Diceros bicornis minor: one gene and its partners. The protein of the gene in region 1 purifies or fractionates together with the protein of each later gene. This does not show direct contact. Links are inferred from orthologs where the notes say so. Each region holds a gene or a part of one and is shown in the gene's direction. Other genes may lie near its edges.

Region 1 (7,359 bases):
ATTAGAATATTGATATCACAGTAGGATATATATCCTACTACAACTTTTTAAAAGCCAAGTATTATATTTTTTGCTATTCAGTCATGTTGATACATGGAGCTCTAGTTCATTAATTTTCACAGATTTATACAAGTCTATTATATGGATATATGCAATTTAAGTGTTGATGAATATTCAAGTGGTTTTCATTTTCAATATAAGCAAAAAATGTTGCACCGAGCATTTTTATATAAATTTCCCTATGCACATGTGAGAGTTTCTCCAAGGAATGTTTTTGGAGTGTAAGTGCTGGGTCATCAGATACATATATCTTCAGCTCTACTAGATATTGCCATACTGCTCTACAAAGTGACTATTCTGATTTACACTCCCACCAGTTTTGTATAAGTATTCTAGTTGCTCCACATCAAAGCCAATCATTGGTATCATCAAACTTTAAATTTTTGGTTAATCTGAGGGCTGTGAAATGGTATAGCATTATGGCTTTAATTTGTATTTCCCTGGTTACTAGCGGAGTTGAGCATCTTTTGATAGATTTAATGGCATTTCCTCTTCTGTAAATTGCCTTTTATATCTTTTGTTTATATATAAAATTAGACTATTTAGAGGCCAGCCCTGTGGCCAAGTGGTTACAATTCCACGTGCTTCGCTTTGGTGGCCTGGGGTCATGGGTTCGGATCCCGGGCGTGGACGTACTCCACTCATTAGCCATACTGTGGTGGTGACCCACATACCAAATAGAGGAAGACTGGCACAGATGTTAGCTCAGGGCTAATCTTCCTCAAGCGAAAAAAGAGGAAGACTGGCAACGGATGTTAACTCAGGGCCAATCTTCTTCAGAAAAAAAAAAATTAGACTATATTTTCCTCTATAATTTGTGATAGTTCTTTTTACATATTCTTATTCTTCTTTTGTGGGTTATATACGTTGCAAAAATATTCCAGCCTGCGGTCATCTTTTAACTTTGTTGATGGAGTCTCTTGTATGTTGAGTTTTAAATTTTAACTTATCTGAATTTAACAATCTTTTCCTTCATGGACTGTGATATTTATGTTTTGTCTTTCCCTACATGAAGGTCATAAAAAGGTCATTTTTCCCCCCAAAATTTTAGTTTCATTTTATATAAAAATATTCAATTCACATGGAATTTATTTTTTTATATGGTGTGAGGTAAAGGTATGATTTGATGTTTTTCCTACAATCATTGGTCTCAGATTCATTTATTACATAGTCCATTCTCTTCCCACTGATACACAATGCAACATTTCTCATATATATTTTCCATATATGTAAGGGTATGTTTCTGGGTTCTCTGTACTCTTTCACTGGTCATTTTGTATAGCTGTGCCAATAATATGCAGATAAATTTTTATAGCTTCATAGTAAGATTCAACACACTGCTTCATATGTTGGACAAGTTATGCCTGGCATAAGGACATCAGGCTGAAGGGATGGGTGGAGTCTGAAATCCAAATCCTGCTTTGGACACCATAGCACAGGGCTGTGTCTGCCTGGAAGGAGGGGCACATTTTTCTAATTCACAGAAAGACATTGTCAGACAATTTTTCCTCCTCTGGGAAATCGACAAAGGCTAGTACAGGCCCTGAATTAAGATCTAATTGGGCAATTTTCCCACTTCCTCCTTCTTCAAAAGTGTCTCGGTTGTTCTAGGTCCTTCGCTCTTGTTGAAAGCTATAAAAAAATCTTGCTGAGATTTTCATTAGACATGCATTGTTTTTTTATTACTTTGTGGAGAACTGGCATCTTTTTGATATTTAATCTTCTTGTTAATTGATATCATCTATCCATTTATTTATGCCTTGTTAATGCCTTTTAATACAGTTTAATAATTTCTTCACAAAGGTTTTAAAAATATTTTGTTAGATCTGGTCCCAAGTTTTCTCTTTCTTCCTCATTGTTGTTACTGTGTGCAGACACACACACATACAATTACATTTTATAACTGCATGTTACTGATGTTTAGGAACACAATTTTGTATAATTATGAACATACTTTTTTTATACTTGTACATTCACAGTGAATTTCCTGTTCAAAACTTTAGTCCTTTTTTCTCCTGGGGTATCTATGGAGTGTGTAGGTGTTGTTTCCCCCACACCCCACTGTGATCTGTAAGAACTTTTGAAAGATTAAGGCTAATTGTTTTTTTGTCATATATATTGCAATTTTCTTTTACTTTCTTTTACTTTTACTTTGCCATTTACTTTTTACTTTCATGTTTTTTCTTTGCAGGAAATTTAAATTTTTATGGAGTCACATGTACCAATCTTCTGTTGTTTTTTTCTTACTTTTTATGTTTCTTCATACCAACATTAAATAACTATCAATCTATATTTTCTTTTTAAGTTATTTTCATTTAACTTTTTAATCCATCTGGAATTTGTTTTGGTGTTTGCTGTAATTAGCAATGTCCATTTTATTTTTTTCTTCCCAGGAAGTTAGCCTAATGTTCCAGCACTATTTTATTCTCCACTGAACACTACCTCTATCATGAATTTGTGCCCGTAGCCTTCCTTTTCTGTCTTGTTAACTATCTGAAGAGTTAATAAGTCTTGGGATTTTAATCAATCAATTAAACATTTTTGAAAGCTAAGAGGATACTTTGCCCTACTACTGCAGTAGTTTGAGAGAATGCTCCCAACAGAGAATTCATGTTTCCACACCGCCTACCCCCAGTCTGGCTAATATAGAGTAGACAGTGAATAGGCAGTGGATGGGTGAAAGAACTGAGGAAAAGAGGAGATACCTTTTTACTTAGATTTAGTTTTCTTTGGACGGGAGCTAGGTTTTGATTTTTTGCAAGATAATAATCCAGTAGACAGAGAAGGAGAAACTGATGCAGAGGAATGGGAAGGAAGGCATGAAAGGGAACATTCCTAGGAATGTTTGAGATATCGATTGGTTAGTCAGAAGTTGAAACAAGTTCAGAAACCAGTTAGGAAGGATATTCCGCAGCTATGATAAAGATGACAGGGTTGAGAATTTTTTCTTTTGTTTTGTTTTCATTATGGAAAATTTTATGCAGAGGAACTAGTACCATAGACCACATGAACCCATCACCCATCTTCAACAATTATCAATTCAAAAGTTAGCATTGTTTTGTCTCTACCTCCACCCATTTCACCCCTTTCCCCAACACTGAATTACTTTGAAGCAAATCCTACCCATTCTATCATTTCAACTGTAAATATTTTAGCATGTGTCTGTAAAAGATAAAAAGTCTTTATGACAACAAAATATATTCACAATATCTAGGTCGAATTAGAATTGCTATCTTACTGACTTAATGTATTAAGGAAGCCTAGCTCATTTTGATTAAAGTGGTAGAGTGTAAAGAACCTTCAACTGGAGTTAAGAGATTCACCGGGGTTTGAGTTCTGGCTCTCAACCTTCCATCTGTGTGACTCCAACAATGCTCTTCGCTTAACTCCAAATCTCAATTTCCTCATTAGTAAAAGAAGGATATTGGTAGTTGTCTTATCCATTTCAGAATTGTCATCAGAATGAAATAATAGAAGTGAAAACAAACGATCTAAAATTGTGAACTACTAATTTCCTGTCCAGTCATCTCCTTTGTAAATGATCCCCAGGACAGATCATCTTAGGCAATAGATCGTCTTTGTCCAGCCTTGTCTACAGTGTTGCTTGCTTTGGTTTCTCTTCCTAAAAAACATTACTTTGGTACTTATTTTTTAACTTGAGGGTTATAGACGCTGCGACTCATAAGTAATTCTGAATACCAAGAGAACAATGCTTAGGCTTGTATCTTTCACCTTTTCATTTCATTTACGTTGTGTTTCTCTTAGTTTTAATAGCGCCAAGAACGAACTGATTGTTTTTTGGTGCGCCCCCATTATCAGGATCCTACCGAGTGCAAACTCAGATTTTCAAGTTAATTTGGTCAACAGAGCTTCAGATAACAGGGAACAATTTTTTATTTCCTCCTCTACAAAGAGCCACAGCAATCATGGAAAAACATTTAGCTGAGCACATTTTGATTGCTAATATCTCTCTCCATCCTTGAGGGGGAAATTACTCATCTCCCTATAGGGGGAACTCGAAAGAGAATGTTTTCCTAAAAGGGGCCAAGTGGGCGGCGTCCTCTCTTCCCAACGCCCTGATTTCCATTCTTAGACCTGGAGATAGGCGGCGGCTTTAATTTTTCTTCTTCCTAGGTCCCAGACCTTCCGCGCGGCTGAAGGTGCCCAGGCCGGCGGGTGGCGGCGGGCGGCGGGCCGGGCTGCAGACTGCGCGCCTCCTCCCGCCGCTGCAGGGCTCGGGGCCTGGGGCCGCGGCGGAGCCCGCGGAGTCAGTTTCTTCCTGCGCGACTCCCGGCCGCGCCGCCGCGGCGAGTGGGATCCGGTCCCGGGAGGCGGCGCCCGCCTGGGGTCCCGTCTCGGCCCGCGCAGGGACCCGCTCTCGCCGCGTGCGGACCGCCCACCGCGGTTCTGCACGGCGCCGTACCTCGGCCGAGCCTCTCGCAGGCCACTGAGCTCGTTTTGGGGGCCTGAGCGGGGGAGGAGGAAGCCGAGGAGGAGGGCCCGGGGACGGGGAGGGCAGCGCAGGGCGCGGAGCCGCCGCCTTCCTCATAAACAGGCGGGCGTGGGTGCCGAGGGGGCTGGCGGGCAGCGCTGGCCGCGGGCGGTGAGCTGTGCTCGGCCCGGAGCAGCGGCCGGCGCCCCTGCCCCTTCCCGGAGCGGCCGGCCTTGGTGCGGGAGGGGCGGCAGGTTTGGAGCAGGGTCCATCATGGCCAGTGGCAGCTGTCAGGGGTGCGTGGAGGAGGACGAGGAAGCTCTGAAGAAGTTGATAGTCAGGCTGAACAATGTCCAAGAGGGAAAACAGATAGAGACGCTGGTCCAAATTCTGGAGGATATGCTGGTGTTGACGTACGCCGACCACGGTAATCATTTCCAAGGAAACTGTTCCTTTATCCCCCTCCCCCCCGCCTCTGTTGCAAACTTTCTCCCCCGCACTCTGGAGCTGCACAAAGCCTGGACTTTTGAGAAGCCACCAACTCTATACTTCTTAGGGTAGAAGGGAGCTGAGAATTCTAGAAAGGTCTTGCGCTCACTTCTTTTGCTTTCTCCCCCCCCCCCTTTTCCGACTTAAAAGGAGGGCCGTGAGTCGTGACTTTGCTTCTTTTCCCTCACCCACTTTCTTTTCCAGCCTCCAAGATATTTCAAGGCAAAAATGTCCACGTGCCTCTGTTGATCGTCTTGGACTCGTATATGAGAGTCGCTAGCGTGCAGCAGGTAAAGGAGCTGTTTTCATTTCGCCCATTCCCCGATCACTTTGGAAATAGATGTTTTTCTGTCAGTGTTATATGCCCAGAGTTCTGGATTGTTTCTGAGATTTGGCTTGACAAACCGCTGACTGATTTTAAGACGGAAGCGTTGTCAAATCATTATCAAATGTTAACGGTGTGAAAGGGCCCACTATGTGCTCCCTAATTGTCTTAAAGAAGTAACTTTATACAATTAACTGACAAAATATGGATGGTGGTGAGAGGAATAATAATGGGTTGAGTTTTCCGTTATTGGCTATGAGTTCATCAGTGTTTAGATCAAATTATCTAAGACTCTTCCCAATATACAGCATGCCCTAGAGATGACAGCATTGTGAATAGTTTGGGAAAGGAGAACAGTTAACAATAATAAAATTAATAAAAATAAAATTAAGTAACTGGCAAACTCGCATAGGTTTCAGGGTTTTCTTTTTTTTTTTTTTTAATTTGAAGACAGATTTCTAGCCTTCTTTAGTTGTAGTATACCTTGTATTATCTAAAGAAAGTGATGTTTTATGATTCTTCTATAAGTTTAAATTTATACTTTTCAACTGTTTTCATATAAAATGAATGTAAAAGTGAAACATTTAGAATCTGCCTCATAGGAAACCCAGAAATTTGCTAAATTCTTAGATATGTTAAAAAGGGAGCCCTAAGATGATAATTAAGGATGATTTACAGTCAAAACAAGATTAGTGCCTATCGTGTTCACTTCCTTTGTAGATTTTGAGATTTAAAGAACTGAAATCAGTTCTGTCATTTGCATGTTAAGTCCTGAAGGGAAAGAGAGTTGAACTTTAAACTCTGTCAAAGTGCAGTCAGAAAGTCAATGTTTCTTAATATATGCTTGAGTGTCTAGACAGATGTAAAAATTATCTGGATCTCTAAATCTGTATCTATCTATCTTTGTCTTTATGCTTATCTCTGTAGCCAGCAATGTCTAGTTTGGGTGAACCATATACCTAGCTTCTTTTCTGGGAGTATATTTATATCTGGGATAAATGGTTACTTTTATTTTTCTTCAACTGAAATATTTCCCATTTGACTATTGATTTTTAGGGTGTTAACATGCAAAACCATGAGAAGATGAAGGCTTGATAAAGACAGTGTTCTTTTTAGCACCCAATGTCTGAATTTTGCCCGTGGAATATGAGTCACTTTTTCACACTGGCCCGTTGTGCTTGCTTCTCTCCACCCAAATCATCCCTTCTTACTTGCCTGTGCTTTTGTGTTCAAAAGTGCCTGCTCTGGCAGCCCCCATTCCCTGGACTCTGTGCTTGGTAGAATCACCCCTGCTTGATACCACTCAAAACATTTGGACCCTGGGTGGCTTTGATCTGCAGAGTCCAGAGGAGGCAGAGCTAGACTTGAGAATGCAGAGGAGCCTGGAACATAACCACTACCTAATTCTTCTTCGTTTTAGAAACTGCCCAGGCCTGGGCATGTTTGTCTGGAGTGGTTATGAATGTCACTCAGTATCTTTTCCCAGTGACTACCAGAGACAAAGTATGCAAGAAAATGAGGAATTGTCTTCTGATTTGGTAATTGAATGGAATAGAATAGTTTCAGCACCATATGTGTATTAGTCTGCAAAGAGTATTATGTAGCTTACATCATTTGATTCTCACTGGACTCTCACTGCCCTCTCAGATATCTCACTGGCTATTTTTTCCTTAGTAGGTAGCTCATTTAGGATCACAGAGCTAGGGACAGAGCCAGGACTCAAGTCTTCTCACGTCTTCCAAATCTCTTTCCATCATACAATTCCCTAGCTGCTGAATTCACAAGCTTTTCATTGCAAGTAAAAAGTGCAATGATTTGGTACAAATATTGTGGCCATGGTAGGCATAATGGCACTATCAATTTTAATTATCGGTGGTCTTATTAAAGGGATGAAGAAAGAGGTCTTTCTACTGATATTATAATACTCCATTTAAAAGAAAGTGGGTTTTTATCCTTCAAATTTCTTCATATTACTGATGTAATTAGTATAGATATTCTTTAATGCTTTATGTGTTGAATTAGCTGGAAGTGCTCAATTAAAAGCTTTTAATGA
Region 2 (7,445 bases), on another chromosome or scaffold:
AGCCTAGTGGAGTTCTGTGCCCACCCCGCTGGGTGCCCCTCCTCCCCCCACTGACCCTGACCTATTGGAAGGGTACAGTAAAGACATTCACCTCAGAGAAGGGAATGATGCTATGGAATTTCAACCCCCTTCCCACCCCTGTGTATAGCTGAAGCCATTGGTATCTGCACCACTGATCACCCTGATGCCCGAGGGCTTGTGGACCATGGAGAAGGACGCGTTGATCAGCTACTCCTTGACCCCAGGCTTCCTCAGCAGCCCCTGGGACTGGATTGGACTGTATAAGGTGATGTGGCAGGCGAGGCAGGGAGTCCCTGAGCCACACCCCTCTGATTGATCCATCCTGAGGGCTCACGGGAACTGGGCACAGAGACTGAACTCACCCTTGTCCACCCCAGGGGTCCTTGCCCACCTAGAGGCTGGCAGTGAAGGAGAGAGAGGCATCCAATATGATGGCCAGCCCTAGGAATGAGACGACCCTCTCCTTCAGATTTGCCGTAGGTCCCACGTCCTCCATGACCACTGACCCCCCGACCCTCCCTCCCACAGGTGGGACTGCGCCACATTAATGACTACGTGTCCTATGTCTGGGTCGGGGACAACCAGATCTCCTTCAGCGTCGGGCTGAACCAGGTACCTGCCTCCCTTCCTGAGATAGGTATTCCACATTTCCAGCAGGTGGGCTTGCCCGAGCACTCCTGTCTTCTGGAAGGAATAGAGAGCTGGATAACTTGTCATTGAGAGCTGGGTGGGGCCCAGGACCATGGAGCTGACCCCATTCCTGTCCATCCCCCGCTCCAGGTATACATGGACATCAGCGATATCCCAGAGACTGAGGATCAGTTTCTCCTCTGTTACTATAGCAACAGTCTACATTCTGTGGTGGGGATAAGCAAACCCTTCAAGGTAGGAGATGCTGGTGGGGTCAGGGGAAGGGTATCACAGATGATGTGAGCCCATCATCAGTTCACCGAGGCCACAGGCCTAGGAGCCAGCCCACATGGTGGAGCCGCATCAGTTGGGGAATGGAGTGATGACACGGAGGAGAGCCTGCTCTTCTCCCTTCCGCTCACCACCTGCTTTATTCCTGCAGATCTGGCCTCGCTCGCTCTTTGGGGAGGATCTACTGGATGAAGCCCAACCACAGTTCTGAGCTGGGACGAGTGAATCCAGGGCGGAGGCCAGAGCTGGCAGCCAGCTCTGCCTACCACTGCCAGGAGCATTGGGGACCCAGCCCAGCCCTCTGAAGAGGGAGCAAGTATCCTCCACCTCCCAGGGGGAGCTCTAGCACACTCCTTTGCTCTCTCCAATCTAGATCTCTAGAATCAGCCTCTTAAATACAGGTTTTTGGTACTGAGATGTGAGTGAAACCAGCTAGTTTGTCAACAGTGAAGACTTGTGGACAGTCCACCAGATGTGGGAAAGACCCTCCAGCCTGCATCTCATTTTTTGATTTTCCCCCCACACACTTCTAGTCCTGCCCAAGCAGGCCTGCCAGGCACATGCCCCATCTGGCACAGGCCTGCATTCTTGTCACGCCATCCTGGGCCTCAGGCTGCCTGGGAGGGGGAGATACATTTGTACAGGCTCCATAGACTGGTTAGCACAAGCAGCACTGGGTTCCAGGAGTCTTGGCATTTTGTTGCCTGTCCCCCTGAGGGATGGGCAGAGGGTCTGGGATCCTTGCTTTCAGCAGAAGCAGTATGACTAAGTGGGCAGGATGAGGGGTCCCTCCACCCAGGCTCTTTGGTAGGGTTGTGGACAGGTTGATGAGCGTCCTTCTGCCAGCACCCCCTCGCCCCCATGGAGTATGAACCAGAAAGTTCCAGGGCCTGAACAGAGAATTGGACCCAGGTTCACTTCTGCTGGTGGGTCAGGCTCCATGCCCCCAACCTGCCCTCTTGTGAAGGGTTGGCCAGGTGGTAGAGGAGCTGTGGCCACAGGCTTTTCCAAGATAGTCCTTGCCCAGCTGAGCTCATCTGCCTGTACCCTTGCCTGCAGTCATTGGCCAGAAACCTATCTAGACTGCTCTGGGACCTAGAGGTGGGGGCAGGCAGAGAGGAGAGCCAGAATCAAGACATTTTGGAGAATCTGGCACTGGGGGTCTTCAGAGAGCATTCTCCAGGTGCTGCGTGGACAAGGTCTGTCCCCACTCCCACCACTTGCCTCCAGCCACTGGTGACTCAACAGCCCTTCTCGCAGGAGAAGACACCTCAGGGAGCCCGCTCTGTGACTGTCATGCCCATCCTATGATCTGAGACAGGGCCACTCCAGTTGCTGTACGTTCCATACTCCACCCTGGGAGCTGTGGGTACCATCTAGAACTGTCCCCTTGGCTTTAGAGGGCCGTGGCTGTCTGTGTTCTGTGTCTGTTGCATTGGGGCATAATTAGAAACATGGCTTTTACACTTGTTTGTGACTCCTTCATGATGGTGGTGGGAGGGGGCACATGGTGATGGGCCGTTGCTAGACTCTAGGACGAGGGCCCTGTAGATCCAGACTAGACTTTCTGTGTCTGCGAGTGACAGATGTTGCCTGGGTAGGAATGAGATGAGGTTCTGGGATGGTGGCCCTCTGGGTCCCTGGCCCAGTTGGGGCATGCTACCTATGCTGTTGGGCACTTAGTTTATTCCATTGCTAAATAGAATGGGTTTCTTGGAACTCAGAAAAGGTGCTTACTCTGCTCTCACTGGTCCATCCCTCCTTACCTGTCACTCTCTCACACCTTAGTCTTGACCACTGGTCCTGGGTTAAGCTATCCAAAAATGTCACCATCTTTTCTCTCTGTGCCGCCTCTCCCCAGATCCCCATACCCCGAGGTTCCCATTGTAATCTCTCTCCCTGTCCCCAACACACACACACCTGAGGAACCCTGAGCCCTCGCACTTGCCCACCTCATTCCTTCTCACGTGCACAACCATTTGTTTGGCAGATGGGGAAACCAAATCTCAGAGAAGTGGCATGAGCCCTCTGGAGTTACACAGGCAGCTGTGGTGTTACGCAGGACCAGAAACAGGACTGGGGTCAAGACCTAGGTTTGAATCAGTTCCATCTCTATCCACATAGGAGTCTCAGTTGTCTGTAAAGTACAAATAATGAACCTATTCACAAGATTATTGTGAGAGAACAATTGCAAAAAACACAGAGCAATCCTATACCTACCTCCTCATTCTGATTAATGTAGCCCTGGGCCTGGGTCTCAGGGCTTCTGACTCCAGGGCTCCCCCGTTTCTCCTGCTGTGGAGCATTTTTGTCCTCCACGTGCCCACCTCTCCCCTGCCCCCTTAAGTCTTCACAGACCCCTACCCCGCCTCCTGTTGCAGGGCGCTCCTTGCCTGGGAGGGGTGAGTGCAGCAGTGATTGAGAGGCGGAAGGGGAAGGGGGAGTGCTCTCCCTCCTCTCGGCCCCAGTCAGGATATGGCCGCTCTGGGCCCAGCCATGACCCGCTGGGTGGAAACAGGAAATATGTGAGACTCCGTGTGTGCTGGGTCTCTGCGCCTGGCTCCGAGGCTGATAAGGGCCATTGTGTGGCTGCCGGGGATGAGCCTGCCTTGGATAGATGTGCTTCCCGGAGGAAGGAAGGAAGCTTTGCTGGCCTTTCCTGGGCGGGGGAAGCTGTGGGGAGGAAAGGGAAGGGTGCCTGGGGGAAGATGCCTGCCCGAGGGGCTGTCAAGACCAGCAGAGGCCCACTGGCCTCTGCCCCTCCTATGCCAGTGTCTCCCTCTGGAAAGGTTGCTTTCCCTCATCCACTTCCCCCTTCTCACTTCCTATAAGGAATGGCTGGAGACTAGAGGGCTCAGTCCCAGGCCAGGAAAGTGTCAGCTGTGATTTAGCAACAATAAAGACAGAAAAACAGGAACATGCTGGTTAGGGGGCACATGAGGGTACTATGGAAAAGCAAGAAGCGAACAGAGCTAAGGCTGCCCACAGCCAAGGAACCCAGGGACCAACCTCCCAAGCGCTTGAGGCTCCAGAGGAGGGTGGGACAGGGGCTTCCTCAGAGTGTCCCCTGCCTCTCCAGCTAAACCCCTCTGCCCAACATGGCCATCCCCCACCAGCCCTAGCCTCTCAAACTCAAGGGGCTCACTTGCTGCTGTGGGAGGCAGGCAAGCTGGGGAGCATGCAGGAGGGGCAGTGCCTATTGATGGATCCTCTTGGCTTAGGGCAGGATGTGCGTTCTGGTTTGGGGAGTGGTCACTGTGCTCTCCAGCTTTCACCAGTGAGTGGGCAGCGAGAGAGGCCAGCCATGGAGCTGCTGGGGGGAAAAGCCTCCTACCCTTTGACCTGGAGCCCAGGGTCCCCCACGGTGGCTGCACTGCATCAGCTCCTCTGGTTACCTGGGACAACAGGCATTTCCTCCATCCCTCAGCCCCTCCTCTTCCTGCCCCAACCCACTGGGCCAAGAGGCCTCCCAATCAGACCTGGGCTGCTCCAGCTGTGTCCTGAGGAGCTGGACCAGACACATCCCCTGGGGCTGGAGTTGAAGCTGAACCAAGTGGCCATCCCGGCGTGAGACCAGATTCCTGGCTCCGGGAGCAGCCAGAGCCAGTGGGCAAGCAGGCAGGCAAGCTTTTGCTCAGAGGCCCCAGTGCTCTGCACGCTGGCTATCCACAGGCAGAATGGCGCTGCAAGTGGAGCTGATACCCACCGGGGAGATCATCCGCGTGGTTCATCCCCACAGACCCTGCAAGCTTGTAAGCTGGGATGCTCTGGGCTGGGAGGAAGGGTGGCAGTGTCTCCCCAGGGCCCAGTAGCCCCTCTTAAGCAAACCCCTCAGGAAAGTGGTGAGCAGTGGGGAGGGGTTCTGATCCTTGGTGGGACCGGAACAGATTGGACAAGAAGGGGTGAGGGTTTAAGCACCACTAGGGGCAGGGTTTTTCGAAGCAGGAATCTGAGTTTGAACCCCTTCTCCTCTGGTTCCCTGATCCTCAGGGGGCTATGAACTGGTGACAGGGCTGCTCTGAGATCAAAGGATCTATGCGCTCCAGGCGCATAGTACAGGCTCAGTTAATGTCTCGCCTTTCTCCGTCTGGCCCAAAGAACTGGGACTGGCCAACTCAGAGCAGTAGCGGGGTGGGGGTAGGGGGGAGTGAAGGGAGGTAGTCACAAAGGGACAAGAACTGACCCGGCCTGGCACGCAGGGGAGGGTCGGGTTTGCTCTGGGGATGCAAAGGGGCCCTAGAATGAGGAGGGAGAGAAAGCCATCAGATGCACCCACCCACCCAACACTGCAGCGAGTGGGCCGGGTCTTTGGCTGGAAGGGGGGTGCGCGCGCGTGTGTGTGTGACAGTGACGCGCCTCGTCCCAGGAGCTGGTTGCGGAGTGTGCGGCACCAAGTCTCCGCGGACGCGGGCCGGGGCCAGGGCCAGGGCCGCCAGGGCCGGGCGGGGCCGGAGGGAGCGCGCGCGCGCGCGCGCGCCGAGGCCTGGGCCCTGCCCGGGATGACGACAGGCAGCGGCCCGGCCCCGGGCGGGCCTTGGGCGGGGAGAGCGTGCCAGGGCCGAGCACTGGGGAGCCGGCCACGCCGCCCAGCCTGGCCCCCGCCCACGCACGCGAAGAACCGAGACGGTGGGTACACGGGGCCCGGGCGCCGGGCGGCCAGCAGCCGCGTGGCCCGTAGAGGCCTCCGCTGGCGGGTGGGATGGGGGCAACGGGCAGGCGGCCAGGCGCCGAGCTACCGTGCGGGAGGCGGGGGTCGCTGGGGCCGAGGGTCGGCTCGGCCCGGGCCGTACGTGGTCCCAGGACCCGCTGGCGCCGGAACTAGGCCGGGTAGAGACTTAGATTACTTGCGGGTAACGTGAGGGCGGGAAGGAGCAGCTGGGGTCCCGGGACCCAGGCACCCTGCGCGCCCTTTGGGCCCCTCCACCAGCCAGGCTCTGCCTCTGGGTTCCGCACAAGCTGCCCGAGCCCCGCCCCTTCCCCTTCTCCGCCCCCCGGACCCAGCCGCGCCAGTGGCTTCTGCGCGCCTCGGCGTGAGTGTGGTAGATGGGGGCCTCCGAGATGAATGAGAGAATGAATGGCTGGCCCAGGGCCTTATGCAACTCCCAGCGCGCTCCGGCCTCCTGCTCACACTCCCGGGCTCTGTGATTCATTCATTTATGCAGGCGTCTACGAGGGGTTATTGAGCCCCGACTGTGTGCCGGACTGGGTGTACGCTCCGGGCGGGAGCAGGCTACTGGGAGAGACCCACAAGAAAACCGGCGATTAGAGCGCAAAGCGATAAGGAGGGGGCTGTGTGTTGGGGATAGTCGGAAGGGGTTCTGGAGGAGGTGATACCTGAGCTGAGTCTTCAAGGATGACTAAGAGTCAGTCAGGTGGGGAGGAGGGAGGGTGCGCTGGGCCAAGGAAGTTGCAGGTGCAAAGGCAAGAAGCTTAGAGAGCCACATGTGGCTGGTGGCAGGGGTGGGAGCAGCTTCTCCTGGCTCTGTGTGGTGGTGAGGGAGGCATGGGGAGAGAAGGGACTGGAGAGGGCCACCCCTATGGTCACACAAGAATGCAGGAGCAGGGGGGTAAACTGAGGACAGAGGGGGCTGCTGGAGTCTATACTCAGGGGCCTGGCAAGAAGCAGTGGGTGTGAAGTACAGGCTCGGCACATGGGCTTGGCACATGGACCGGTGCCCTATAAACCTTCACTCTATTAACATGAGATGTTAATTGATTGATTTGCATTTGTAAATACCACAGGCTGCTGTGGGGAAATGGATTGGAGGAGGAAGGCAGGGAGGCCAGTTTGGAGGCTGCTGCCCGGTCAGGAGTGGAGCAGTGATGGAGGAGCAGGGGGTGGGGGGTTTGGCGAGTGTTGACTCTTGGTGTGAGGAGTGGAGGGACAGGACAGGCCTTTTGAGGTCAGGTGGTGATGACTAGCTGGAGGTGCCTCCCTTCTCTCTACCTACAGGATATTAAACAAGAAGGATAGGGGGCAAGGTGCTCTGTTTACTTCTGCTGGACCCCCAGGCAGAAGTGTCTAGCAGGCCAAAGGCCCATGGCTCCGAAGCTAGAGTGTACAGCCCCTGACTGGGGTCCTGTGAGCAATTAGGTAGAGCCCCTAAGGCCCCACTTTTCCTCCCCATTGCCCCTCACAACGGTTCCCTTGAGTCTAGAACAGTCCTTGGTGGGGCAGCCTGGGCCCAGACCTAAGATATATTCGACAAAGATAAATTGAGGACCTGTTCTGCACCCAGCACTGCGCTGCAGGTGAGAGAGGCTAGGGTTCTTTCCACTGCCCCAACAGGTCATGAGGCTGCCTCTGTGGAAATCAGCTTATAGCAGCGATCTGGGGGTCTTCAGAATACCCTCTCAAGGCCTGGGTGGCCCTGGGCTGGGGGAACATTTGAGGCTGCCCATTGCCCTCCCCTCTCCTCCAGAGGTCAGGCTTGGGTGCACCTGGCCCACACTAGGTAAAGGGCTCTGGATGACCCAGGTCTCCTGGGCCTGCCCCATCCCTG
Region 3 (7,155 bases), on another chromosome or scaffold:
GGGAGGCAGGACGTGCAGCATGGATCACGCAGGGGCTGAGCTGTCCGGTGTGGTGCCTGCAGCTCACCCGTGTGAGAGCAAAGCAGAGACGCTCACGGCCCCTCTGTCCTTGTCTCCCAGGTGGACCTGCAGAGCGAGTGGCCAGGAGAGCCGAGCGCCTCACCGGCCCCGCCCCGCCTCCCCGGGCTGGTGCACGGCTGCTGTGCTGGGTGACAATGACCCGGGCACCTTGGCCACCGCAGTCAGCCTCCTTCCTTTCCCGGGGGAACAGGCTGAGTCCTTCAGGTGCCCCTGTGGTCCCCGTGTTCAGCCAGGCTGAGCAGAAACCCGGGGCGTCCCCAGTGGGAACAGCGACTCAGGTCCAGGGCACATCGCACACCTGCTCTGCAGCCCTCGGGGTGCCCGGAGCTGTCTCAAGGTCACTGGGTTTCTCAGAAGCAACCAAGCGTCCGTCTCAAGGTCACCCGGTTTGTGCCTCTAACCAGAGGTGCCAGCTCCCCTGCCCGGGGCACCCGAGCCCCCCCAGCCCTGGATGCAGGGAGCCGGACGGGCTGGGGGCAGCGTGGCTGTGCAGTCAGCCCCGACCCCCGGACCCCAGGAGTGGCCGACCCTGAAGTCCCACACCCATGACTGTGCCCTTGAACCAAGGACCCACCCACCCGAGGGAGACCCCCGGGCCTGACAGTGAGGGCCTGATGACACGTGAAAGCCGACGGAGGGTCCGTGGGGTCCCCAGACCGCCCACTCCCCCTGTCTCTGCTGGACTTGCAAAGAAGTGAGAAAATATGAGTCCTCCACGACCCGTGTTTGCATTTATTAGAACTAACACCCAAAAACAGTGCTTTCAGGAGATGGTGGGAGAGAAAGTGAGTGTGTGTGTGGGCCCCCATACAGGTGTTTATTCTTTAGGAGACAAGATTTCAAGCTTGGAATTCTGGGCTGGGCAGCCTGACCGGACCCCCGCCCTCCAGGCAGAATTCATTCATTCCAAAAATATTTCAGCACACACTGCATACGGTACAGTCTAAATGCATTACTGGCTGCAACATCAGGGGTCGGGGATGGGGGAAGGAGCTAGGACAAGAGACCGTCAGGACCACACCCGTGTCCACAGCGCCCCGGCCCCTCCCCTGTCCCCGTGGGTCCTCATCTTTCGCCCTCCCGGTGCAGCCTCATGACACCCCACTAGACCACGTCACACAACGCAGGACTGGAAGGAACTGCCTGTCGACTAGGACAGACTCCCCGGGCCCAGCTCACAGCACGTACCCCCCAAATCCCTCCTCACCTCGATGACTCACCCCCAGGGGTCAGCTGAAACCCTGAATCACCTCCCCCGTTTCTTTCAATCACCCACCCCCTTCTCAGATGCTCTGGGGTGCAGATTCAATCAGATCACCTGCTGGCCCAGCCACAGCTCATCTCTCACTCCGTCCGAGCGCCACCGAGGGCTGGGTCTTGTCTCCTCGCTGCTGGGTCTTGGAACTTAAACCCTTGGAGGAGACGCTCCCCACCTCCGCTTCCCACTCACCCCACCTCTCCCTTTCCAGGCCCAGGTGCACAGTCTACCTGGGCTCTCCCCTCCCAGGTATACGGAGATCTCGGATTCCGGCGTGCACAGCCCCGCCACCCTCCCAAATCAGCCCTAGTGGGGCAGGGGAGCCATGACTCGCGCGCGCACGAGTTGCCCACGGGCAACACTTTCTACAGAACACATTCTGAGCCCCAGTCAGCGATAACAGGAAGAGACCACGTTCATTCATTCACTCATTCACTTGTTCATTCGAGAAGCATTCCCCCAGCACCGTCCTGAGGCCAGGCACAGGCGGCCAGGGACCCCCGGGCGCTCAGAGGAACCAACACACATCATACTGGGCTGAGCGGTGGGGTGGCAGCCAGGAATGCAGGCGGAGCTCGGGGAGGGGACGTCCCCACGCCTGGGGCAGGGGAGCGGGTCACTGAGTTAACGGCCCCCCCAGCACGGGAGGAATGTTCCAGTGTCCCATGACACAGGCTCTGAGACAGAAACACTGGTTCCAGGGCCTCACCCGCAGCCCCGGCCTGAGCAGATGCCAACCAGCTGGATCCTGAAGGAGCAGCTTCAGCTGGCTGGCCCCCGCTAGCCCCGTGACAAGCCTCGCCAGGGTCCCTCCCCATCACTGGGGTCCCTCCCGGCCCAGCGAGCTGATCCCGGCAACAAATGAACAAGAGGAGATGCTTTTCTCCTCTGAGACACGGACCCCTGAGCAGACATCTCGTCCCCCCACACCCCACGGCCGCCCTCTGTCCTCCACTCCAGAGCCCCATGGGGGCTGCGGGCGTGGACCTCCAGGGACTTTCTCTGCCCCTCTGTCCCGGTGAAGCCTCAAGAACATGCCAGAACCTCCAAGGCCCTTCCAACAGCAATGCCCCCAGGGCCAAGACGCTGACACTCCTCCCTCCCCCACAGCTAGACCACCCTCTGCACCTGGGCAGCCCCAGGCACTGCCCGTCCCCTGCTTCTCCCTGGAGGTCAAGACCGGACTCAGGAAGCCATGGTCAAGGACACGGGAGACTGGGGAAATCACCGGCTCCCAGTGCCCAAGGCTCTTCTGGGTGCTTCCCAGGCCTCCACCCACCCGTGAACCCATTGCCAGGGGGGTTTTACCTGCTGGTGGGGACGCAGGAGACCAAAAAGAAGCAAAGGGGGCAGGGAGAAAAATGAGAAAGGGAGGGAAGAAGACAGAGACAAACAGCGGGAGAAAAGAAACGGGATTCTGGCTCCCCGGTTGCTACTGAAGAGCTATTTGGTGCTCCTTACACCGTGTTCAGTTCGCGACGGTTACGACCTGTATCACTTAGTTACAATTCACTAAAAAGTCTGCAACATTTCAAAACACCTCGGCCTCGGGAGCGTCCCTGTGCATGTCTGTGTGTGCACGAGCATGTGTGCAAATGCATGTGTGTACACGCGTGCATGAACTTGTGTGCACGTGTGAGGGTGTGTATACGTGTGCATGAAGTGTGCATGTGCGCGGGAGTGAGCGTGCGCACGCGTGGCGTGTATGCACGAGCATAAGCGTGAGTGCATGCGTGTGAGTGTGAGCATGTGCCGGGCAGCACACGCCCTCCTGCCCCTCCCGGAGCCCCCACGTCGCAGCGCCCGGAGCGCCACCCGGAGTCCCGCCATGGGGTCAGGGTTCCGGGGCCCCCGCGGGAGCTGGGGTGGTCCCGGGGGGCTCGCGCAGGCCCCGCGGACGGATAGGAAGAGGGGCCGGGGTCTCCCGGGCAGGGGGCGAGCACGGCCTGGAGAGCCGGGCCGCGGGGGCACGTCTCGGGGGGAGCGAGTGTAGGGGGTAGGAGCGCCCTGGGGGTCGAGGGTCCGGGGGAGGGGGGCTCGGCCCCCTGCTCTGGCCCTGCGGGTCACGGCCGGGGTCCGGGGGTCAGCGGGGCGAACGCGGAGGTCACGACCACGGCTCGGGGGTCCGCGGAGCAAGCCCGGGGGGTCACGGCCGGGATCCGGGCTCAGCGGGGCGAAACCGGAGGTCACGGCCAGGGCTCGGGGGTCGGCGGGGCCAGCCCGGGGGTCACGGCCGAGGTCCGGGGGTCAGCGGGGCGAAACCAGAGGTCACGGCCAGGGCTCGGGGGTCGGCGGGGCCAGCCCGGGGGGTCACGGCCGGGATCCGAGATCAGCGGGGCGAAACCGGAAGTCACGGCCAGGGCTCGGGGGTTCGCGGGGCCAGCCCGGGGGTCACGGCCGAGGTCCGGGGGTCTGCGAGGCGAGCCCGGTGGTCCGCCGGCCTCCCCTACCCACCGCCGCCGTCTGTCGCCCTCGCGCGGGCCCGGCTTGACCTTGACAAGGTCACGGCGTCCGCCAAGCCCCCGACCCACAGGGCGCATGGGCGGGGCCCGGCTCCCGACATGCCTCGCGGCGCGGAGCGCGGAAGAGGCGGGGCGTAGTCGGCGCCACAGCCAATGGGCACGGCGCGCGGGTGTGCGGGGCGGGGCGCGGCGCGGCTCCCGGCAGCCTGCGGGGGCGCGGGATCCGGGAAGGGGAGGGGCGTCGGCGCGCGGCGCAGCCAATGGGCGCGGCGGGCGGGGGCGGGGGCGGGGCGTCGGCACCTTAGCGGCTGCGCGCTGGCCGCCCCGTCCTTTCGGTCCCGGCGGCGGCAGGGCTGAGCCAGCGGCGGCTACCCACGGCTCTCCGCGTCCCCGTCCGCTCTCCGCCCGCTGCGCCGCGCGCCCCGCCACCATGACGGAACAGGCCCTCTCCTTCGCCAAGGACTTCCTGGCCGGAGGCATCGCCGCCGCCATCTCCAAGACGGCGGTGGCCCCGATCGAGCGGGTCAAGCTGCTGCTGCAGGTGCGGGCGGCCTGCGGACGCGGGGGCCAGGGCCTGGGCGCGGCGGAAGCCGGCCGGGCCGGCCACGGGCACCGCTCCGGCGGGCGGCCGGGCACCGGAAGTGGGGCGCCGCGCCGCTTTGTCCGCGCGCCTCCGGCTTCCGGGGGCGGGCCGGGCGCGCGTCACGTGGGCGCTGCCGCATGGGCGGGGGTGGAGCCGCGGGCGCGCACGCGCTCTCCGCGTCGTGGACGCCTGCGCGTGCGCTTGGAGTCTGGCGTGCCGGGATGCTGCGGCGCTGGCCGAAGGGCGCATGCGCGCCTGCTGGCCGCGTGGACAGACTCTTTGGTGTGGGGGGGGCGGTGCCTTGGGCGCGCCACGGGGTTCCTGCTAACGCCCTTTGGCGTTGGACGTCGGTTCTTGCTCCCCCTTTTATACTCCGTGTTCTGAACCAGAATAAACTATCATTGTGTGTTGTTACAAATGTTGCAAGCTGCTGGAAATGTATCGTTCTGGTGGCAGCATTTGTTGCCTTAGAAATGTATGGCTCTGATGGCAACATTGTTGCCTTAGAAAATGGATTGGTCTGATGGCAACAAGATGGATCGCTCTGATGGCATCATTGTTGCCTTACAAAATGGATCGCTCTGATGGCAACATTGTTGCCTTACAAATGGATCGTTCTGGTGGCAACATTGTTGCCTTAGAAATGGATCGTTTCTGGTGGCAACATTGTTGCCTTAGAAATGTATGGCTCTGATGGCAACATTGTTGCCTTACAAATGGATCGTTCTGGTGGCAACATTGTTACCTTAGAAAATGGTTTGCGCTGATAGCAACGATGTTGCCATGTCTGTTGGCAACACTGTTGCAGCGACAAACAGTTACCGAGTTAAAAGAACTGGTGTTTCCAGATGTGAGGTCTCTGGGCAATTCGAAGTCCGCATGCACGAGCTAGTCTTTGGAGCGGACATCTTCAGTGGGGGTCGTGGTGGGTGTTAGAGAAAGGCCCCCGTGTGACCCGCCCCCATCGCCCCTCAGGTGCAGCACGCCAGTAAGCAGATCGCGGCTGACAAGCAGTACAAGGGCATCGTGGACTGCATCGTGCGCATCCCCCGGGAGCAGGGCATCCTGTCCTTCTGGAGGGGCAACCTGGCCAACGTCATCCGCTACTTCCCCACGCAAGCCCTCAACTTCGCCTTCAAGGACAAGTACAAGCAGATCTTCCTGGGCGGCGTGGACAAGCACACTCAGTTCTGGAGGTATTTCGCCGGCAACCTGGCCTCTGGGGGGGCGGCCGGAGCCACCTCTCTCTGCTTCGTCTACCCCCTGGATTTCGCCCGGACCCGCCTGGCGGCCGACGTGGGGAAGTCGGCCACGGAGCGGGAGTTCAAAGGCCTGGGGGACTGTCTGGTGAAGATCACCAAGTCTGACGGCGTCCGGGGCCTGTACCAGGGCTTCAACGTCTCCGTGCAGGGCATCATCATCTACCGGGCCGCCTACTTTGGCGTGTACGACACGGCCAAGGGTAAGTGGGTTCTCCCGGGCTGCTGACACGGCGCCGCTGGCCGGGGGGGCTTCAGCAGCTGACACTCATGTTTTCCCCGTTCTGGAGGCTGGAGTCTGAGACCCAGACGTGGGCAGGGCTGGTTTCTCCTGAGGCCTCTCTCCTTGGCACGTAGACACCCGTTTTCTTTCTGTGTTTTCACGTGGTCGTCCCCCTGTGCATGTACATTGTTGATGTCTATATGTCTTAATTTTGCCTTCTTGTAAGGATGTGAGTCTTATTGAAATAAGGTTGTGCTATATCATTTCATTTTATCCTGATTATTTCTGTAGAAAATCCGGTATTCAGATACAGTTCTGTTCTGAGATCTTGGGGGTTGGCAATTCACTGTGATTTTTTGAGGGGGCACAGTTCACCTGTGAAAGTAAGCCCCCCCGTCAGTGAGGGCCCAGGCCTGCTGGCACCTCTACAGCAGAACGGCCTCAGGTGTGGCATGTCCACTGTCCGAGCCTCGTGCATCCGCTGCTCTGGAGAGGCCACTCCCAGGTGCTCTGCTGGCCCCTGGGCCAGTCCCACTGGAGCTTGCAGGCGGCTTCCCCCTGTAGCTGACCCCACTGTGACCTCTCCAATGTCGCCTGGTCCCGGGAGCTCCGTGTGGAGCCAGGGGGCGGCAGAGTGCAGCTGTGGGGCCTAATGCTGGTGGTGACCCTGCAGGCATGCTCCCCGACCCCAAGAATACCCACATCGTGGTGAGCTGGATGATCGCCCAGATGGTGACGGCTGTGGCGGGCGTGGTCTCCTACCCCTTCGACACCGTGCGGCGACGGATGATGATGCAATCGGGGCGCAAAGGAGGTATCTTCTCTCGGGGCTGGGAGGGGGCTGGGCAGCGGGAGGTCAGAGACGTTCTCGTAGGGCCTCGTGGCCTCAGCCTGTGGGATTCTGGGGCCATCGGATAAGGAGTTTCCCAAGGTGGCCTGGCTTAACAGGAGGCTCTGGTCGATGGCAGTGACCCATGTCCAGGCAACACTGGATCCGGTTCCAACAGCCTCTTTTCTGGCCTTGCCTGCAGACTTGTTCATGCCCGTGTCCTGGGTCTGCCTCCCTTAACTGTCTCTGGGGCGTCCACGGGCCCTGAGTGGACCAGGAGTTGGAGGTGGGGTTCTGTGGAGGAGTTCTGTGTGTTTCATCCCCACCCCCCAGCAGTAGGCCCAGTGGGGCTGTGAGCAGGGGCACTGGGCATCCAGAGCCTCCTTTCCCGCGGTTCTGACTCCAAGTTGCCCGGATGGTGGCATCCGAGGATTAGTCTCCCTACCGTGTCTTTCGTGGT
Region 4 (7,563 bases), on another chromosome or scaffold:
GGAATGCAATCAGCAAAATCCAGACCATGGAAAATTCTAACGGACACATCCTTCCCCCAACCCCAACAAATAAATTACTTAAAAAAAGAAAGAAGATGGAATCAAAACCTATAGATTAAAAGAGAACTAAAAAAAAATCAATCAGGGGCCACCCTGTGGCATAGTGGTTAAGTTCCACGTGCTTCACTTCGGCAGCCTGGGGTTCACGGGTTCGGATCCTGGGCATGGGCCTACACCACTCACCAGCCATGCTATGGCGGTGACCTACATACAAAATAGAGGAAGACTGGCACAGATGTTAGCTCAGGGCCAATCTCCCTCAAGCAAAAAAAGAGGAAGATTGACAACAGGTATTAGCTCAGGGCGAATCTTCCTCAGCAAGAAAAAAAAAAGATTAAAAAAAATCATCAATCGCAATGTGTAGAACTTATCTGGATCCTGACACAAACAAATTGTAAAAGAAAACATTCACGACGTTTCTAAGACAATCAAAGAAATTTGAACACTGGACCTTTGCTGGAATTAAGGAATTTTCATAATATTTTTAGGTGTGACCTTGGTATTATGTTTATATATATATATGTATATTTTAAAGTCCATATCTTTTAAGGATAATGAAATATTTACAGATGAAACATGATGTCTGGGGGCCGGCCCCATGGCTTAGTGGTTAAGTGTGCACGCTCCACTACTGGCGGCCTGGGTTCGCACACCGATACACCGCTTGTCTGGCCATGCTGAGGCAGCGTCCCACATACAGCAACTAGAAGGACGTGCAACTATGACATACAACTATCTACTGGGGCTTTGGGGAGAAAAAGAGAAAAAAAAGGAGGAGGATTGGCAATAGGTGTTAGCTCAGGGCCAGTCTTCCTCAGCAAAAAGAGGAGGATTGGCATGGATGTTAGCTCAGGGCTGATCTTCCTTATAAAAAAAAAAAAAAAAAAGAAATACGAAGTCTGATATTTGCCAAAAAATTATCTGGGAAGACGGACTGGATGGGGGTAAAGTTGAAATAAACAGCCAGAAGTGGATAACTGTAGAAGCAGGGTATTGGATGCATAGCAATTCTTTATATTCTTCTATCTTTGTACATGTTTTAAATTTCCCATAAGTAACAAAAAAAGAAAATCAATAAATTATTGTAATTCTCATTTCACTAGATGAAGAAAAAGCATTTTTTTTGTGTGTGTGTGTGTGTGTGTGAGGAAGACCAGCCCTGAGCTAACATCTGTTGCCAAGCCTCCTCTTTTTGTTGAGGAAGATTGGCCCTGGGATAACATCCGTGCCCATCTTCCTCTACCTTATATGGGATGCCGCCACAGCATGGCTTGACAAGCGATGCATCAGTGCGCGCCTGGGATCCGAACCTGCGAACCCCGGGCAGCAACAGTGGAGCGTGCACACTTAACCACTACGCCACTGGGCCGGCCCAGAAAAAGCATTTGGAAACGTTAGAACACTGGACTGAGAATGGAAAGAACTCAGTTTTAATCCTTACTCTGCCATGTAACATCAGACAAGTCTCTTTACCTCTCTGGGTTCCAGTTTCCTCATCTTTCTGATAATGGAGTTAAACCACATGGTTTTTAAAGTCCTCCCGCCCCAGCTTTTAATTTTTTCCAACTATTTATGGAAAGCCTTGTAAATACTAGAAATATCCAAATTAACTTTAAAATCCTATGACTAGACCTCTCACCAGTTTCTCATTTATCTTGAGTTTCAACTTCCTCCTTATGATGTTTATTCTGAATCTACACTTGGGGGTTTGAAGATCATTCTACTTAATGAAAATGTAAGCAAAAGATGACACCAGTAGTTCCATTATTTGTTACTTGTAAATATTACCTCTCCCTGCTGAGGGCCTGTTTCTGTGTTCTTTTTGATCCAAAAATTAATAGAAGAAAAATTGTTATTTATCATCCTCTGGATAGAGTAACCATAACATGTATATTCCTTATGTGCAAGCATTACAACCTTGAGGAAATTGTTCAATCTTACTGTGCCTAAGTTTCCTCATTTGTAATATGGGGATGATAAAAGCACCTACTTCACAGAATTGTGAGGATTAAATAAGTGAAAATATGTAAAACTCTTAGAACAGCGCATGCAAGTGCTCAATAAATGTTAACTATTACTATAAATGTTAATGTAATTCAGGACTACAAGCAAATGTTAATGCACATAATATAACCACTGGTTCTCCAACTTGTGAGCTTATTAGACTTGCCCTTAAAATCCTGATGTTACACCTCACTAAACCTGGGGCCAAGGAACTAGACAAACCAAGAAAATAAATGAATAAATATCCTGATGCCCAAGCCACATCCCAGACCAATCACATCGGAACTTCTGCGGGTGGGCCCCAGTATTCTTTCAAGTATTCCAAATGATTCCAAATGTGCAGACAAGTTCAAGAACCAATGATGTAAACTACACAGATAAGGAATAAGCAGGTATGAAATAGCTGGAGAACATTTAAGAGCTGAATTTTTAAGTTGAGTTTAGAAGGAAAAGCAGTGCCTAAATCTAAGTTCTATAATATTTTTCTATTAAAAACTGGTACCCAGAGATTAGAGATGGGCGTAAATTGCGTAGGTCCTAAAAGGTCAGAAAGTAAAGGACAAAGAATTAATGAAAAATATGTAGAGTGAACTAGACATAGTGGATTAAAATATATCTATTTAGATAAACAAAGCAAAAGGTTTACGACCTGCTACTTTTAAGAAGACCTAATATTCAAAACCGAAGTCTGAAGACAACAATCTCTCTGTGCTGCAGGAATTTAATTACCTGGAGAACCAGCCCTGTACCCAGGAAGCACACAAGGTTGGGACCAAACCCAGGAAACGCAAACCGCCCTGAGGCAGGAACTGTTCTTTTATGTTCCATACGATATCTAGCATAATGGGGCACACATCCTAAAAAACAACACAAGTCACGATGCTAGAATTGGGCAAGGTGTGATTCATGGATCAGCTGCTCCACTCTTCAGCCTCATCACACTCATCACCTTCACAGGTCTAGGCAGTCCAACAGGTGCGCAGCACTGGCTTCCTCGTGACTTGGACCACAAAAGGCAGAGAGGTCTCATCTTGAGGATCAGACCCACGGTAAGATTTACTTTAACGAAAGGCTGTATGACAACAGAGAAAGCCTTGTTTGGGTGCTGTTCTTTTTTTTGGGTGCTGTTCTTTACTTTTAACAAAATAAGCTAGGTTAAGTCCTTACTCTGGAGACAGTTGGCTGATGTTCAGTTTGCCTCCCAGAGCATCTTCAGATACCTGTTGAGTATCCTCCTGCCCAAAGACTGAGATGTGCGTGGATTTCTATGCTCTAGGAACAGAAGACAGGACTTTGGCCACTGTAACAGGGAACTGAGCCAGAGACCTGAGTGACCAGTTGTCTTGGTAACTTCCTGTCTAAACTGTAAACTAGACAGAACTTCAAAGCCGCATTTATAAAAACATAATAGCAACAGACTAAAAGAAATGAAAATTTACAGGCAGGCACATTTTGAAATTCTTAACTGGCTCTTTTTCATCCTTCTTTAATTACTCTTTAAACCAGGTTTTCCAGCCTCCCTCGTTAGCCTGTTGACAAAGTGAAGTGTTAGTATTTGTATGCTTTGTTTAAATATTTTATCTGCAACCCGTTCCACACTGCTAGTCAACATTTTCCTGTCAGTTGGAATCCAGGCCTAGGACTCCCTTAAACAAAGCATCCTTCCCCACAGAAACGCAATTTATAAGAGCTGCTTGCCATTCTTTGCTGCTACAGACATTAATCTTTGTGGATCTTCGGCCAGTAACGTGCGTATATGCACACAGTTTCCAAACAAGAAAAACCCTTCAACGTGAAGTCCTACAAGATACAATGATAAAGTTAGACATCGCTTGAAAAAAAAGCACTAATAATCTCAACGAAGCCAAAAAATAAATACACGCTGTGCACCTCAAGAGCTCTTCAAATATAAGAAGGATCCTCGAGAAGATATAAGGTACGTACAAACTTACTAGATGACTCTGCTCTACTAGCAAAAGTTCTGTCAACAGCCCCCTCAGTTCCATCAGACCAAGGGGGCAGACGTAGGAAACTTGGTGGCCCCGGGGCCTCCCCACTCTCCATACCCCTGTCCCCTCCTCAGGCCCCTGTGCCCCCAGGGCGCGTGCGCAGCTCTGCGCCAGGCCCAGGCCGGCTCGGGGACGCTGCTCCCGGGGAACTCGGCTGACGCCGCAGCGGGGCACGCAGGTGCCCCTGAGGGGCGCGGCCCGGGTCTACCGCCCCTTGCGGTCACCCCTCTCGGCCCAACCTCTCCGGAAACCCCGCTTACCCGGCTCGGTGCCGCATCCCTGCGCTCAGCGCCGCGCTCGGGGGCGAGCTGATAGCGGGGGCCAGTGAAGGCGCGGCAGAAAGGAGAGAGAGCTGTCCTCCACCCCGGCCTCAAAGCAGCCATGGCCCACGCCTCCCGGCTCCCGCGACGCACGGCAGAGTCGCGACGGCGCGAAGGGCTGCCTTACGGCATGGTCGCAAAGCCAGAGTGTGTGAGAGAGAGAAAGAGAAAGAGTGGGGAGCGGCGCGGCCGACAGTGCTCTTTCCCTGCGTGTAACGGGCTGCGGGGGCAGCGGGGCGGCGCGGACGGGGACCCGGCGGCTGGTCCACTGTCGCGGCCATTACAGACTGCCGCGCAAGGCGGCTAGCGGCGGGCTCGGCGCGGGTCGAGGTGCGGCGCGGACGCCAGAGGACGCTTTCCAAGGGCGGAGGGCGTTCGGCCCGGGGGCGGGGCTGCCGGGCTCGGGCGACGGCGGGAGCTGCGGAGTCGCGGGGTGTCGGCGGCGGAGCGCGCGATGGCGCGGGCGGCACAGGTGAGCGCGGCGCAGCGGCTGCGCGGGCCCCCTCCCTCCGCGGGGGCGGCCTCCCCTCGGCGCGGGCATCCGCGGGCGACCTGTGCTCTGGCGCCTCACCCGGCTCTGCCCGGACGGGCGTCGGCGCCGCCCCCACGCCCTGGGTCCGATGGGGCCGCCGGCCGGCGGGGCCGGGCTCCCTTCCCTACGGGCCGGGCTCCCCTCCCTCCGGGCCAGCCGCCCCCTTCCCCGCGGGCCATTGTGAGGTCAGGCCGGCGGGCGCGTAGTGGGGGCCCGGGCGAGACGCCCAGAGCGGCCGCAGCGGCCGGTAGCTGCCGCCGCCACCGCCGGCCCCTTCACCGGCTGCCCCGTTCAGATCTAGCCGGGAGGGGTGAGAGCGATGCTGCTTGGGGCCCATCTCCGGTGCTGCACCCCGTAAAGGGCTGATCTTCCATCTCGCCACCTCACCTACGGGAAGCCAAGACCAAATCAGCTCAGACCTCTTCCGGGTAAAGTGCTGGGAGGGAAGGGTGAGGAGGGGAGGGGAGGAGGGAGGCAACCTGTCCTCCAAAGGCACGTTCTTGGCTCGAACACCCACAAGGGATTGGTTTCAATTGATTATCCAGCCCCTTCCAGTGAGCTGTTTGGTAGAAACCCAAGAGCAGGGAAAAAATGCGTTAAGTCATTCTGGACTCTTAATGGGAGGCTAGTGAATGAATTATTCATAGTTGTCACATTTTTGTGGGATGTATTGGGGGAGGAGGGGAGCATGATAGGCATGGGGAGGTACTCGGGCCTCCAAAGCCCAAGATGGTGCCTTTAATGTAATCCCAGTCGCGTTTCCTGTGGAATTCCATACCTCTGTAGAGAAGATTTGTGAGGTACTAAAAGGGTGAGATGAGAAACAGGGTAGCTTTGTAGAAGTGCATAAAGGGATGGAGAAGAATGTAGAAAGGGGGACTTTGGGGGGTGTCTGGGAACCACTGGTATTTGTTTCGCTTTGAGTTACTTTTTCTGGAAACTAGGCATAGCTCTTTGGCCAGGTGGGGTGCTTAGGTGGTACTGTATCGTTTGGAAGGTTAGAAGAGCTACTGTTTCACATTCCACAAAGGTGCCCTGCTGGTGCCAGAAAAACAGCTTCCAGTGTCAGCAGCTAAGATAGTTGTGCTCTTTCCAAGGTGATAGTTCAACTTCATGCTGTACTTATGAAGACACATGCTACCGTCTTGTACACTTGAAGAAACTTGAAATTCACAGGCCCAGAGCACCAGGTCGTTTTGGACGCTGCAGTAACCCCTGTCTGTTCTTAATCGCTGCTGTGTTTATATTATTTTCAGGAGAGGGAGTTGGTTAATCACTGCTTGAGTATGACTGTCATTTGGATTACAATAATAACAAGCCCTTTTTCTTAGGTATATCTTTTTAAAATGAGAATTTTAGAGTGAATTAATATACAGTTACCGTTTTGCAGAGACTTTGTGATGTAATCGGTTATCATTCTTGTCATCTTTCAGTGCTTGTGAAACTGAACACAACAGAAGTATGGATATGGGCAACCAACATCCTTCTATTAGTAGGCTTCAGGAAATCCAAAAGGAAGTGAAAAGTATAGAACAGCAAGTAATTGGCTTCAGTGGCCTGTCAGATGACAAGAATTACAAGAAACTGGAGAGGTTTCTAACAAAACAACTTTTTGAAATAGACTCTGTAGATACAGAAGGAAAAGGAGACATTCAGCAAGCTAGGAAGAGGGCAGCACAAGAGACAGAGCGTCTTCTCAAAGAGTTGGAGCAGAATGCAAACCACCCACACCGGATTGAAATACAGAACATTTTTAAAGAAGCCCAGTCCCTGGTGGAAGAGAAGATTGTGCCATTTTATAGTGGAGGCAACTGTGTGACAGATGAATTTGAAGAAGGCATCCAAGATATCATTCTGAGGCTGACACATGTTAAAACTGGAGGGAAGGTCTCCTTGCGGAAAGCAAGGTATCACACTTTAACCAAAATCTGTGCAGTGCAAGAGATTATCGAAGACTGCGTGAAAAAGCAGCCTTCCCTGCCGCTTTCCGAGGATGCGCATCCTTCCGTTGCCAAAATTAACTCTGTGATGTGTGAAGTGAACAAGGCCAGAGGCACTCTGATTGCACTCCTGATGGGGGTGAACAGTAACGACACTTGCAGGCACTTGTCTTGTGTGCTCTCAGGGCTGATGGCTGATCTGGATGCTTTAGATGTGTGCGGGCGTACAGAAATCAGAAACTACCGAAGGGAGGTAGTAGAAGATATCAACAAATTATTGAAATATTTGGATTTAGAGGAGGAAGCAGGCACTACTCACGCATTTGACCTGAGACAGAATCATTCCATTTTAAAAATAGAAAAGGTCCTCAAGAGAATGAGGGAAATTAAAAATGAGCTTCTTCAAGCACAAAATCCTTCTGAATTGTACCTGAGCTCCAAAACAGAATTGCAGGGTTTGATTGGACAGTTGGATGAGGTAAGTCTTGAAAAAAACCCCTGCATCCGGGAAGCCAGGAGAAGAGCCGTGATTGAAGTGCAAACTCTGATCACCTACATTGACTTGAAGGAGGCCCTCGAGAAGAGAAAGCTGTTTGTTGGTGAGGAGCACCCATCACATAAGGCCGTCTGGAGCATCCTTGGGAGCTTGTCAGAGATCCAGGGAGAAGTTCTGTCATTTGATGGAAATCGGACTGATA

What was found.
Region 2: the proteins of LRRK2 (region 1) and MYO1C purify together in Homo sapiens (affinity purification with mass spectrometry; 3 studies listed by BioGRID and IntAct, with this or other methods). This does not show direct contact. The link is inferred for Diceros bicornis minor from reciprocal best matches to the Homo sapiens genes LRRK2 and MYO1C.
Region 3: the proteins of LRRK2 (region 1) and SLC25A6 purify together in Homo sapiens (co-immunoprecipitation; 3 studies listed by IntAct, with this or other methods). This does not show direct contact. The link is inferred for Diceros bicornis minor from reciprocal best matches to the Homo sapiens genes LRRK2 and SLC25A6.
Region 4: the proteins of LRRK2 (region 1) and BAG5 purify together in Homo sapiens (co-immunoprecipitation; 3 studies listed by BioGRID and IntAct, with this or other methods). This does not show direct contact. The link is inferred for Diceros bicornis minor from reciprocal best matches to the Homo sapiens genes LRRK2 and BAG5.

Annotation. Positions count from the first base shown.
Region 1 is NC_080756.1:28,440,847-28,448,205, reverse strand, and holds the start of LRRK2 (leucine-rich repeat serine/threonine-protein kinase 2), read left to right. Parts: upstream 1-4,348; 5' UTR 4,349-4,765; coding exon 4,766-4,919; intron 4,920-5,185; coding exon 5,186-5,271; intron 5,272-7,359. UniProt on the Homo sapiens protein: Serine/threonine-protein kinase which phosphorylates a broad range of proteins involved in multiple processes such as neuronal plasticity, innate immunity, autophagy, and vesicle trafficking.
Region 2 is NC_080757.1:16,228,927-16,236,371, forward strand, and holds the start of MYO1C (unconventional myosin-Ic), read left to right. Parts: upstream 1-4,441; 5' UTR 4,442-4,619; coding exon 4,620-4,694; intron 4,695-5,479; exon of another isoform or gene 5,480-5,568; intron 5,569-7,445. Other genes in the region: INPP5K (inositol polyphosphate 5-phosphatase K), read left to right, coding at 149-286, 550-633, 802-906, 1,094-1,153.
Region 3 is NC_080781.1:1,084,632-1,091,786, reverse strand, and holds the start of SLC25A6 (ADP/ATP translocase 3), read left to right. Parts: upstream 1-4,143; 5' UTR 4,144-4,231; coding exon 4,232-4,342; intron 4,343-5,359; coding exon 5,360-5,846; intron 5,847-6,539; coding exon 6,540-6,680; intron 6,681-7,155. UniProt on the Homo sapiens protein: ADP:ATP antiporter that mediates import of ADP into the mitochondrial matrix for ATP synthesis, and export of ATP out to fuel the cell.
Region 4 is NC_080763.1:48,214,806-48,222,368, reverse strand, and holds the start of BAG5 (BAG family molecular chaperone regulator 5), read left to right. Parts: upstream 1-4,552; 5' UTR 4,553-4,865; intron 4,866-4,891; exon of another isoform or gene 4,892-5,353; intron 5,354-6,181; exon of another isoform or gene 6,182-6,256; intron 6,257-6,358; 5' UTR 6,359-6,386; coding exon 6,387-7,563. Other genes in the region: cytochrome c oxidase assembly factor 8, read right to left, coding at 4,334-4,456. UniProt on the Homo sapiens protein: Co-chaperone for HSP/HSP70 proteins. It functions as a nucleotide-exchange factor promoting the release of ADP from HSP70, thereby activating HSP70-mediated protein refolding.